3 linked regions of the Caenorhabditis elegans genome follow. The protein of the gene in region 2 purifies or fractionates together with the protein of the main gene of each other region. This does not show direct contact. Each region holds a gene or a part of one and is shown on either strand. Other genes may lie near its edges. The genes, in order: T16G12.1, mcrs-1 and ruvb-2.

What was found.
Region 1: the proteins of mcrs-1 (region 2) and T16G12.1 fractionate together in Caenorhabditis elegans (co-fractionation; one large-scale study listed by BioGRID). This does not show direct contact.
Region 3: the proteins of mcrs-1 (region 2) and ruvb-2 fractionate together in Caenorhabditis elegans (co-fractionation; one large-scale study listed by BioGRID). This does not show direct contact.

What each region holds. Positions count from the first base shown.
Region 1 is NC_003281.10:10,047,772-10,051,525, reverse strand, and holds the start of T16G12.1 (Putative aminopeptidase-2), read left to right. Parts: upstream 1-1,668; 5' UTR 1,669-1,782; coding exon 1,783-1,885; intron 1,886-2,188; coding exon 2,189-2,291; intron 2,292-2,667; coding exon 2,668-2,783; intron 2,784-2,838; coding exon 2,839-2,988; intron 2,989-3,037; coding exon 3,038-3,200; intron 3,201-3,631; coding exon 3,632-3,710; exon of another isoform or gene 3,711-3,754. UniProt on the Caenorhabditis elegans protein: Putative aminopeptidase which plays a role in oocyte maturation.
Region 2 is NC_003279.8:12,650,334-12,654,087, forward strand, and holds the start of mcrs-1 (FHA domain-containing protein), read right to left. Parts: upstream 1,755-3,754; 5' UTR 1,742-1,754; coding exon 1,626-1,741; intron 1,554-1,625; coding exon 1,484-1,553; intron 1,425-1,483; coding exon 1,344-1,424; intron 1,258-1,343; coding exon 848-1,257; intron 1-847. Other genes in the region: atp-1 (ATP synthase subunit alpha, mitochondrial), read left to right, coding at 2,057-2,101, 2,285-2,413, 2,467-2,897, 2,952-3,753.
Region 3 is NC_003282.8:6,917,755-6,921,508, forward strand, and holds the start of ruvb-2 (RuvB-like 2), read right to left. Parts: upstream 1,653-3,754; 5' UTR 1,645-1,652; coding exon 1,603-1,644; intron 1,510-1,602; coding exon 1,372-1,509; intron 1,319-1,371; coding exon 1,190-1,318; intron 1,139-1,189; coding exon 862-1,138; intron 816-861; coding exon 425-815; intron 374-424; coding exon 221-373; intron 1-220. Other genes in the region: T22D1.18 (Transposase), read right to left, coding at 2,203-2,409. UniProt on the Caenorhabditis elegans protein: Possesses single-stranded DNA-stimulated ATPase and ATP-dependent DNA helicase (5' to 3') activity suggesting a role in nuclear processes such as recombination and transcription.

The sequences.
Region 1 (3,754 bases), on a different chromosome or scaffold from region 2:
TCAGCTAATCCTAGAAATTGCATCATCTGTCGACATAAAATTATCTAAACGCGGAAGGGAGGGCCGAGCAGAGACATTGAGCCTAGATTTCAGATTTTGACTGAATTTTTAGCACATTTTATGACGAAGCAAAGGGAATTGAGCTGAAAACGACGAAAAATGGGTAGTTTCATCGAGATTCTTCAGAGAAGGATGCTCCGGGGGGAGATTCTCTTCAGAATCGAGTTTACGCAAGATTACGCAAGATTTTTTGACCAATTTTAGCTATTTTAACGCGGAAAACTCGTGATTGAGAGCGATAAAAGGCTAATGATACCAGTTGCGAGTGTGATAATCGAATTGGAATCAAGATTACACGTAGAAAATCCAGATTCGTGTGTGAAAAAACGAAAATGAATTGGAGGACGACAAATATTCGAAATTCGAGCGGGAGAGTCGAAATTTTTTCGAAAATTGACAAATAAAACCAGATTTTGAGCATGATAGAGTCAAAATTTAGCTTTTTATGACTGTAAAGATCCATTTTCGAATGGGATAGTCGAAAATGAACCTAGAAAAGGCGATAATTGAAAGAAATCGACTTACCTCTGACCGCTGGAAGCCGCGCCACGTGCCTCCCTGACTCTGGATCCGTTTCCGGCTCGGAACTTAGTGATTCACGAGCCGGTTAGGTCGATGCACCAATGTTGACACCCGCAGTCGCTGGGGAGTCAGACCCAACGGGTGAGAACGGCGAAATGTGTGTTCGCGCGGAGGACACGGAGCTTGAACGAACGGCGGATGACGATGAGCGGTGCAGAGGGAATAACAGTACACTTTTAGATAAATCCAAGTTTATTATTGAATAAATAAATGGAATTATCAACGGGAACAAACGGATGACGTGGGGACGGGTGGCATCCGTGGTGAAACGTGTGAAGACTGAATGAGTTGGCCTAAAAAGGCATCTGAATATTTGTGTGGATTTACGGGAGTACGACGCTCCGCAATAACGCGAGTGTGCGGGGGGGGGGGGCGCACTTGCATTAGGAAATACGCAAATGGCGGTAATTCAAATAATAATATTTAATTAATTAAAGAATGGAATGTTTCTGAGTGAACGAATGGAACAGAGAGTGAGCGACTCATGCGGATGGTGATTGTGGGTTCGTGGGTGAACCTGACCAAGCGCCTATATCCGCAAAGTTGGGACGGACGGGCTCTGCGGAGCCCAAGTGACAACATTTATGGGGTTTTTGAACTACTATAAAATATCTTTTAAAAAAATGCCCACTGATATTTTTCCATCATTCACTAAATTTTTAACATGAAGTAATTATAAAAAATTGATGACTTAGCACTTGAACCAGTCATCAGTGAGACTAAAAGTCATTACTATCTTTTGATTACTAGAAACTCTGGAAGGAGAACCAAAAAATCACATCATAAACCATAAATTGGATTTAAATCGGTTTTGCGGTATTTGCGAACATTTGTTTTTAAAAACTGTAATCTTCATTAAATGCTCTAGAGATTCTCCAGCATCACTACCGATTCCCCAATTAGCGGACTCTGTCCCGAACTGACATTTTGGGAATTAGTATTAAAAGTGTGTCAAAAGTGATAAAATTGATAATTAGGTTTGTCATCTCGTTGTGATGTCACATCCCAGAAACCGATAAGGAAAGTACAGTGGCTGCTGCGTGCTCCGGAATAGGGAGAGCAAACTCAAAATTTCAAAGATAAAATCGCGAGAGGATTGTATAATCTACTCTTTTCATTTCGTGTGCTGCCGACTACGAAATGCGGCGGAAACTGCTTCTCTTACTTTGTTTTATTGGGCTCTTTAGCTTGATCTCCACTGCTCCTGCACCGAATAATGTTGGTTTGGAATCTGAATTCACAGGTTTGTCTACTTTTTAATAATGACGCTAGACTGCACATTCCCCCATAATTTGAAAAATTGATACTATATGTGCTTACAAAAAGTTAAACTAGGTGCGAATTTCCCTTGTGAATTTTGAATTTCTATGTGAAGCTGAGAATGTCCCACTCAACAAGCTACTTGATCTCCAAAATTGAAAGTAATCTAACGTGAAAATGTGAGAATTTTGGCATTTTTTATTGCCACTATGGCTCACTGAGCCGTTAAAGCTAAGCTTGTTACAAAATAGACTAGAAGGAACAATATAGTAATTTCTCATTTCAGAGGGACATGCTGAAACTATAAATTTGGAAGAAGTCGAATTCAATCATCCATCAATCTTGCCGGAACACCCAGATAATTTTAGACAGGATAAACTTGCAGCCAGGTTATTTCTTTTTTAGTTCAAAATCAAAATATTTAAAATCAAGTTCTTAAATTTACAGTATTTTAATTTTGGTGAAAAGTGCAAAAATTATTGAACATATAATTACACTACTCTTTGCCTCATTTGAGTTTGGAATCGTAATTTTTTTACTACGACGTAAAATGGTTTTGGCAAAAAAAGTTGTTATAGAACAAAAATCACTCGAAACATTGTTTTCAAATGTTCAATTTTATTGCAAAAATTGATAAGAAAAGTTTCGTAAAGATGCCGTATCTTGCATGTGACAGCTATCAACTATTCTGAAATTTTTATTCTAGAACTCATTGTGCTCTGAAAACATAATCATTACAAAAAATAATGAAAAATGAATTTCCAGAAAACGCCAAAGCCTTTATGTAACAAAAACACGTCTCCCACCAAATCTGTATGCCATTGACTATAGTCTATGGTTCCAACCATACTTCCCAAGCCCTGGAGTTCAATATGCACCAGGTACTAAACTTTTTATTACTTTTTCGAATGATGCAAGTTAACATCAGTATTACAGAGAAAAACTTCACATTCGACGGAAGAGCATCGATACAAGTGGAAGCATTGGTCGCATCGGACAGATTCATTCTGAATGCCTATAACTTTAAAATTCAAAGCTACAAAGTGGTTGATATCGATGGAACTGTAGTGCCAATCAACTCAATTTGTAAGGAATTGAACGTATATTGATAAAAAATACAAGAAAAGATTTATAGCACAAGATGACACTACGCAACAGTTATCACTGATTACAAATGCAAATGGTGTGGTCGCTGGTCAAATTTACAACATCGAATTTGTCTACACCGGTATTATCAATCCATACACGGATGGAGGGGTTTACTACACTTCATATAATGATCCACAAGGAAATACACAGTAAGGGGAAACAATGTAGAAAAGTGGTGGCGAAATTCTGTAACTTTGTGCAAGTAAACTCTCCAGAAAACATACAATTTATTGTTAGATTAAGAGTATATCGGTTAAGGGAGCGACCTCTGCTTTTTAAAAACTCGAAATTGGAAAATAAAATTCTAATTAAGAGTACCGTACTTTGACAGATTGATTATTATGTAGTCGATTTGCCGAAATTTTTGAAGCTCTTTTTTTATCGCTCATCACTTGTTAAATGTTTTGGGCAACATAATTGTCGAATTGCCAAGGTAGGCATAAAACAACATTTTTGGGGCCTGCCACCTACGTGTCTATAAAAAACACTGAGCCCAGCCAGTGCTGATATACTTCAAGAAACGATAGCTGAAGTCAATATTTTCACACTGATTTCTTGATTCGACTCAACCTCTTTTTAGCTACATGATTGCTACACATATGGAACCGTTCTCCGCTAGAAAAGTCTTCCCATCTCTTGACGAACCATCTTACAAAGCGGTAAGTGTTACAGAATAATCTTAGACAAAACAACTAAAATTAAT
Region 2 (3,754 bases):
GAGTGAAAATTTAAGGCTTTTTTGAGCAAAATCTGAACATTAGAGGCTTTTCAAGCTAACTTATGACAATTTTTCTCTAGAAAGTCTCAAAAAGACGTTAATTACTACAGAAAATCGATTTATGACCGACACAAGTCTGCTTTTTATTGGAAATTAGGGGGTTTTTTCTATGAAAATCAATTCTTTTCACCTACTGAAAGCCTAATTTAAAGAAAATTGCGTGAAAAAATCAATAATCGACTAAAAATATGAAGAAAAACGAACTTTTCAACTAGAAGTTCACATTTTCACGGAAAATTAGCGTTTTTCTTTGGGAAAGTGCCAAAAAAAAGAGAATTACAGTTAAAATTGATTTTTAATAGAAAATTTAGTTTTTCTGTGTGATTTCAGTTGAAAAATCGGCTCATTTTGCAATATTTTGGATATTTTAATCCTAGATCTTCGAATTTTTGGCATAATTAGAAGAAAAAACGAGAAAAAATCAATTTTTGGCTGAAAAAATTCAGTTTTTAACTAAAAATTAACGTTTTTTCTTTGAAAATCTGATATTTTTGTCGAAAGAGGCCCTAAAAAATTAATAATTGTCTAAAAAATATGAAGAAAATTGAATTTTTGGATTAAAAATCAGTTTTTTTTTCTGAAAATCTCTCTTTTTTTTACCTAGAAAGACCTTAATTTAGCTTAAATTGCGTGAAAAACTTCAATATTTCGGTGGAAATTAGAAGAAAATCAAAATTTGCAACTAGAAATTCAAATTTTCACAGATTTTTTAGCTTTTTGGGTGCTTCCAAGCTGAACAATCAGCTCCGCAAGGCAAATTTTGGCGGAAAATTTCGATTTTCCATACCGATTTCCGTCTAAAATCTTCTTAAAATGGAGAATCGTCAAAACTGTGTGATTTTCCACGTCTTGTCGCTCTTTTCTGGCGTTTTTCAGCTGATTTTCCGCCAATTCCATAAGAGTGCGCTCCTCATTCCTGGTAAATGGCGTCCTCGCCTCGATTTGAGCTTTCAAACGATGTGGCATGGCGTCAAGTCGAACTTTTGCGGATTTTGATATTTCTTCGTCGAACATTAGCTGACAATAACGCTCTTCTACGTCGGAAAATGTGAATTTTCGCGAAAATGTCAGCGAATTGTGGATGAAACGGATGCATTGAACGTGAGCGACGGCGGTGAGAAGCGCCAGATCGTCGGCGACGGTCCAGATCCTCATTGGGTTCGTTTCCGTGATTGAGGGCTCCATGTGAATGAGAATCTGTAAAAAATCGGGGGTTTTTCGAGGAAAATTCGATATTTTTGAGGATAATCCTGGATTTTCAGCATCTTCCCCGCAATTCTAACCTTTCTCCGCTTCAGTTCCGGCTCTTCAGACGGCTTTTTCATCACCATTTGGGCCTCCACTGATTCTTCAGTTTCTTCCGCCTGAAAAAATCAAATCTAATTTTTTATGGAAATTTATCAGGTTTCCTGAGATTTCTCACATGTATCTCCGAGTTTTCTTCAATTTTTTGCTTCTTAAATCCTGACAGCTCGTTGGGACGCTCTATATCTCTGAAAAATGTAATTTAATTCATTTTTTAGAGCAAAATTCAATTATTTTAATTAAAATGTCGAAACACTCACTCAAATTGTTCGATTTTTCGTTTCCTTGTCCCTTCTTCTTCTGTGTCTTCTATTGTATCCTTTTTTCGCTGGCCGGAGGCGACCTTGTCGATGATTTCGTCGAGTTTATCGGCCATTTTTGGGACAAACCTGAAGTTTTTGCAGTTAAATCAAAGGAAATTTTATTTTAAAAATGATGAAATAAGAAATAAAATTTAATTTTCAAGAAAAACAAGCGAAAAATTGAGAAAATCGATTTTAAAAAAAAATGTTCACTAAAAACGAGAGTCAGCAAGCGCGCCCCACTGAGACACTTGGCAGCATGCCAACACCTACCGTATACCAGACAACCTGCATTCCCCCAACCGCCCATCAGGGAGAGCCGCCTTAACTGCAGCTTCGGTTTTACTTTTGCTTTTGGAATTCGTTTTTTCCGAGCAGACCCGTTGAGGATGTTGTCCAAACGCATTGTTACCGCTCTTAACACCGCCGTCAAGGTTAGTTTTATCGAATTCTCCGCAGAATTTGACCCGAAAATGTTGTTTTTAGGCTTGAAAATTTAATTTGCCACTTTAAATTTTTTTGCTGTGAGCTTTTTTCGGATATTATGCCCTTAAATCAACATTTACGGCTCAATTATTGATTTTTGATTATTAATTCTAATTAATTGCATTTTTCAGGTCCAAAATGCCGGAATCGCCACCACCGCCCGCGGAATGGCCGGAGCTTCCGGATCCGAAGTCTCCAAGATTCTCGAGGAGAGAATTCTCGGAACCGAGACTGGAATCAACCTTGAGGAGACCGGAAAGGTGATTATCTCGTCGTTTTTAAGCTTTTTTTTTTTAATTTTTATTCGTTTCAGGTTCTCTCCATCGGAGACGGTATCGCTCGCGTTTACGGATTGAAGAACATCCAGGCCGAAGAAATGGTTGAGTTCGACTCAGGAATCAAGGGAATGGCCATGAACTTGGACGTTGACAACGTCGGAGTTGTCGTCTTCGGAAACGATAAGGTCATCAGAGAAGGAGACATCGTCAAGCGTACCGGAGCCATCGTCGACGTTCCAGTCGGAGATGGTCTTCTCGGACGTGTTGTTGACGCCCTCGGAAACCCAATTGACGGAAAGGGACCAATTGCCAACGCCAGAAGATCTCGTGTCGAAGTCAAGGCCCCAGGAATCATCCCACGTTTGTCTGTGCGCGAACCAATGGTTACTGGAGTCAAGGCCGTCGATTCTCTTGTGCCAATTGGACGTGGACAACGTGAATTGATCATTGGAGATCGTCAAACCGGGTAAGTATTGATTTTCTCGAATCTTAATTAAAATTATTAAACAATTAATTTCAGAAAGACCGCCATTGCCATTGACACCATCATCAACCAGAAGAGATTCAACGACGCTGGAGACGACAAGAAGAAGCTTTTCTGCATCTACGTCGCTGTCGGACAGAAGAGATCCACCGTCGCCCAGATTGTGAAGCGTCTCACTGACGCCGGAGCCATGGACTACACCATCGTTGTGTCTGCTACCGCCTCCGATGCCGCTCCACTCCAATTCTTGGCTCCATACTCTGGATGCGCCATGGGAGAGCATTTCCGTGACAACGGAAAACATGCTCTCATCATCTTCGACGATCTGTCCAAGCAAGCCGTCGCCTACCGTCAAATGTCTCTTCTTCTCCGTCGTCCACCAGGTCGTGAGGCTTACCCAGGAGATGTCTTCTACCTTCACTCCCGTCTTCTCGAACGTGCCGCCAAGATGAACAACAGCCTCGGAGGAGGATCTCTCACCGCTCTCCCAGTCATTGAGACTCAAGCCGGAGATGTGTCTGCTTACATTCCAACCAATGTCATTTCCATCACTGACGGACAGATCTTCTTGGAGACTGAACTCTTCTACAAGGGAGTACGACCAGCCATCAACGTCGGTCTGTCTGTATCCCGTGTAGGATCTGCTGCTCAAACCAAGGCCATGAAGCAAGTCGCCGGATCCATGAAGCTCGAGTTAGCTCAGTACCGTGAGGTCGCTGCTTTCGCCCAATTCGGATCTGATCTCGATGCCTCCACACAACAACTTTTGAACAGAGGAGTCCGTCTTACCGAGCTTCTCAAGCAAGGACAATACGTACCAATGGGAATTGAAGAACAAG
Region 3 (3,754 bases), on a different chromosome or scaffold from region 2:
CAGACTGATAAAATAAAATTCAGTCAAATAAAAAAAACCTCATTCAGCTCAAAAAACCACTAAAACATCGGAAAAATGCCTAAATTTTGGCGAAATCTGCGAAGCTGATCGAAAAACGTTTGAATTCACGGTTTTGTCGCCATTTTCCTAACAAGACCCATGGATCGGGGACAGAGCGTTTCCAATTGCCGGTGGAGCGTTTTTAAAAGATATATCTCACTTGACTCCTTCTTCATCACATCGAATTGACAAAATCTTTGCTGTATCTTCTTTAGTATATGGGATCGCGTTGATGATGAGCATACGATCAAGGAAATCAGATGGGATGCCATGAGCAGATTCGACATCTGTTCCACGCACTTTTTCGATCAATCTAAAGATATTTAATTAAAAACTCAATATTAAAAAAAATATATTTGCAAACCTGTTGGTGGCCATGATAATCAAGGGACTGAGTTCGCCTTCGATGGCTCTGTTGAGGAACGAAAAGCATTCGATATCAAGCATATGAGCTTCATCAATAAACAATACTCCTGGTACAAACTTTGCTTTTCCCTCTTCTCTCCACTCCAAAACCTTCTTATTAATCTGATCTCTCACTTCTGCTTTGATCTCTCCAGTGTCTCCTGAGAAGAGTGCCACGTATCCTTGGGTACGAGAATTGATGACGTCAATGTCGTGAAGACAAACTGTGTGAACAGTTTCACGTCTCTTTTGAATTTCTCCATCTGGACACTGAACAAGCTTCACTTTTGGACCCATTGCGTCATAGTCGTGGGAACGGTTGAATGAACGGCCAAGTCGAGTAACACGTCCTAAAAACGATAATTTTTCAGTTTTTTGATTAAATAAAATTCTCACCAGAAGCCTTATCAACTTGAATAACATCACCGGGCATCACTTTCTCTTTCAGACACGCATCAACCATTTTTGATCCAAGATCGTAGATAGTTTCCATATCAGTTGTACGCATTGTGAGTTTTCCGACCTTTGGTCCCATTCCATTTGCTGACCGATCAACTTCCAACGAGATCACTTCTCCTTCCAAAACTTCAGTTTCTTCTTTAATCTGAATTCCCAGAGCACGTCGAAAAGCTTGAGTAAGTGCCTCTGTTTTGTTGATTTCGTTTGAATAAATCTGAAATTTAAAAAAGATATTTATTAATCTGAAAAAAAACATTAGACTAACCTCTGAAGCGACAATACTGACAAATGGGGTGTCCTCACCAAGTTCTTTGGAAATTGCGATGGCGATAGCAGTCTTTCCAGCTCCAGGCTCTCCTGTCACAAGAAGAGCACGTCCGGCAATTTTTCCCTCCTAAAAAATATAGTAGCAATTTTAGTTTTGAATTTTTGTGCAGAAAACATTACCTGAATCATTTTGACAATAAGTCCTGCAGCTTGTCTAGCGGCAACCTGGCCGACCATTCCTCCAGACACATATTCAGCTTCTAAACGATCATTAAGACCTAGACCAGTAATATGTGAATGTACGGAGGTGCGTTCAACCTGGAAAATATACTGTAATGCAATTGAACCTAGATTTTATTAGAAAATATGCTAAATTGAACACAAAAATTGAATATATGAGCAACAAAATACCTTTACAATATCTTTCACATTAATTCCGTCCAATGTCGCCATTTTGATGTCTGAAATTGAAATATAAAGCTGAAAATTTGCTGAAATTCGGAAAAAGTGAACCTAAAATTCGAAAATCGCGCGCACGAAACGCGCCAACCACAGAAAAAGCGTCAATCAAGGGGCACGAGAAGTGCGTCAACTCGCACTTTCTGCGTCTCACTCTCTAATTATATAGCAACGTGATCTGGAGTTGGATAAATTAATTTTAAAAAAATTTATAAATTAAGCATTTAAAGTTATTTTGGTCGGTCAAGTTTTTGAAAGTGACTGGATATTAAAGAAAATTAATTTAATCTTTATGAGCCTTGTAAAATGTTTTCAAATTTGATCAATCGAGCATAAATAAATGTATTTATTTTATCAATTAAAAAAATCAGAACTTATAAAATCTTATGTATAAAACCAATTATAAAAAAGATAAATATAGAAAAAAAGCGCAATTGAATACTTAGATGCTCTTTTTTTACCAGAATGTTCAAGTTCGATTGCCGGGATCATTTCTGAAGAAATTAATTAAAATGCCAAAAGAAATCAATCAAAACCTTTTTTCCCAATAATTCAAAGATAAAATTTGCTCAATGTGAATAAGGAATAGCATGCTGTAATTGCCACAGTGATAACAAGAGCCCAATCAATAAATCTTCTTGAATTCGAATATTTGCTATAGATCACAATCTCATCATTCGGATCATCATTCTTACAAAGAAGTGGTACATCAACCAGTGAATACTCTAAAGATTTATGAATAGGTACAATGTTAGCCATTTGGAAGAGAAATGAGGGCGACGATGAGGCTGTATGCGGGGTTTTCAAAGCATATGCTTAGAAGCGAAGATTGCTATCAAGCCTTTGCCTTGTCTTCTCGCTTACACGTGGCAAGTCTTTTTTCTGGCTAGGAAATACGATTTTAGAGAATTAAATCCGAGGCGGTGGAACGTTTTGGTAGAAATCCTGCATATCCTGAATTCAAACTTTCGGAAAGTGCTGTAGCAGTCGATTCCATGATTCTATCGTAACCTACTTATAAGTTTTCATTTTCAGAAACTAATTTTCAAAAACTATCACAGAAATTTAACAGATACGCTGTACATTCGAAAAGAGCTCTATATCCCACATATTCTCTATTAGTGCGGCACCTCAACCGCTCTATTTTAATAGCGTATATGTAACTCGCACGCTTTTGAAGATATCGAAAAATGAAAAACATAGAAAAAGAAAAAGATTTAACAAAGATGTTCTTAGTTGAAATTTTTGGCTTAAATCCGAGATATAAGCTGTCAAAGTTGAGCAATTGGGGGTGCCGAACTAATAGAGAATATACGGTATCAAAAATATTAAGAAGCAAATCATTTCAATTTTACTATACACATAAAAATAACCCAACAACAAAAAAATCGTTTATTTCTTCAAAGGTCAAAATGAAAATTAGTCACAAAAATTATAAACTCTCATTGCAATTCACACAAAACAACATTAGACACTGTTTAAATGTAAGTCTGTTCTTGAGAATACATAAATCAGAAACAATAATACCAGAAATAAAGAGAGCACATAATTCAAATGACGATGAAGTTGAACTTTCATCAAATAGTAAAACTTAATCGGAGTGAATTGAAGAATCAATAGGAAGATAAATGAAGTCCTGAATGACGCAGTGGATTTGTGAAAGAATAGATTCATATCTGTTGAAACAGACGGAGATGGCATTCAAGCCATTATGTTTAATTAATTCAGTCAAACTGTTCACAAAGTTTTGAAGAAATGTGTGAAAGATCAGAATAACGTGGTTTCAGAAAAATGGATATCTTTTAAAGTTGCGATACTGTATATTATCTATGAGTACTATTATACATTTAAAGTTTCCTTTATACTGTTAAGATTACTAATTTTAACTTACAAGACATGTATGCGTTTAAATTTTGAATAAAAAATCATGAAAACTGCAAATTAAATATATAATTATTTGGATGTAACTTGTTTTTAAATTTTGGAGCCCTCAGAATTTTCCAGATGCTGAAGGTACTCTGTGGTATTTCTAAAATGTTTCAGCACTTATAAAGGTTAATTTTGGTAATTTTTATGTTAATTGTTTTTCGTCTCTGGTGCAATC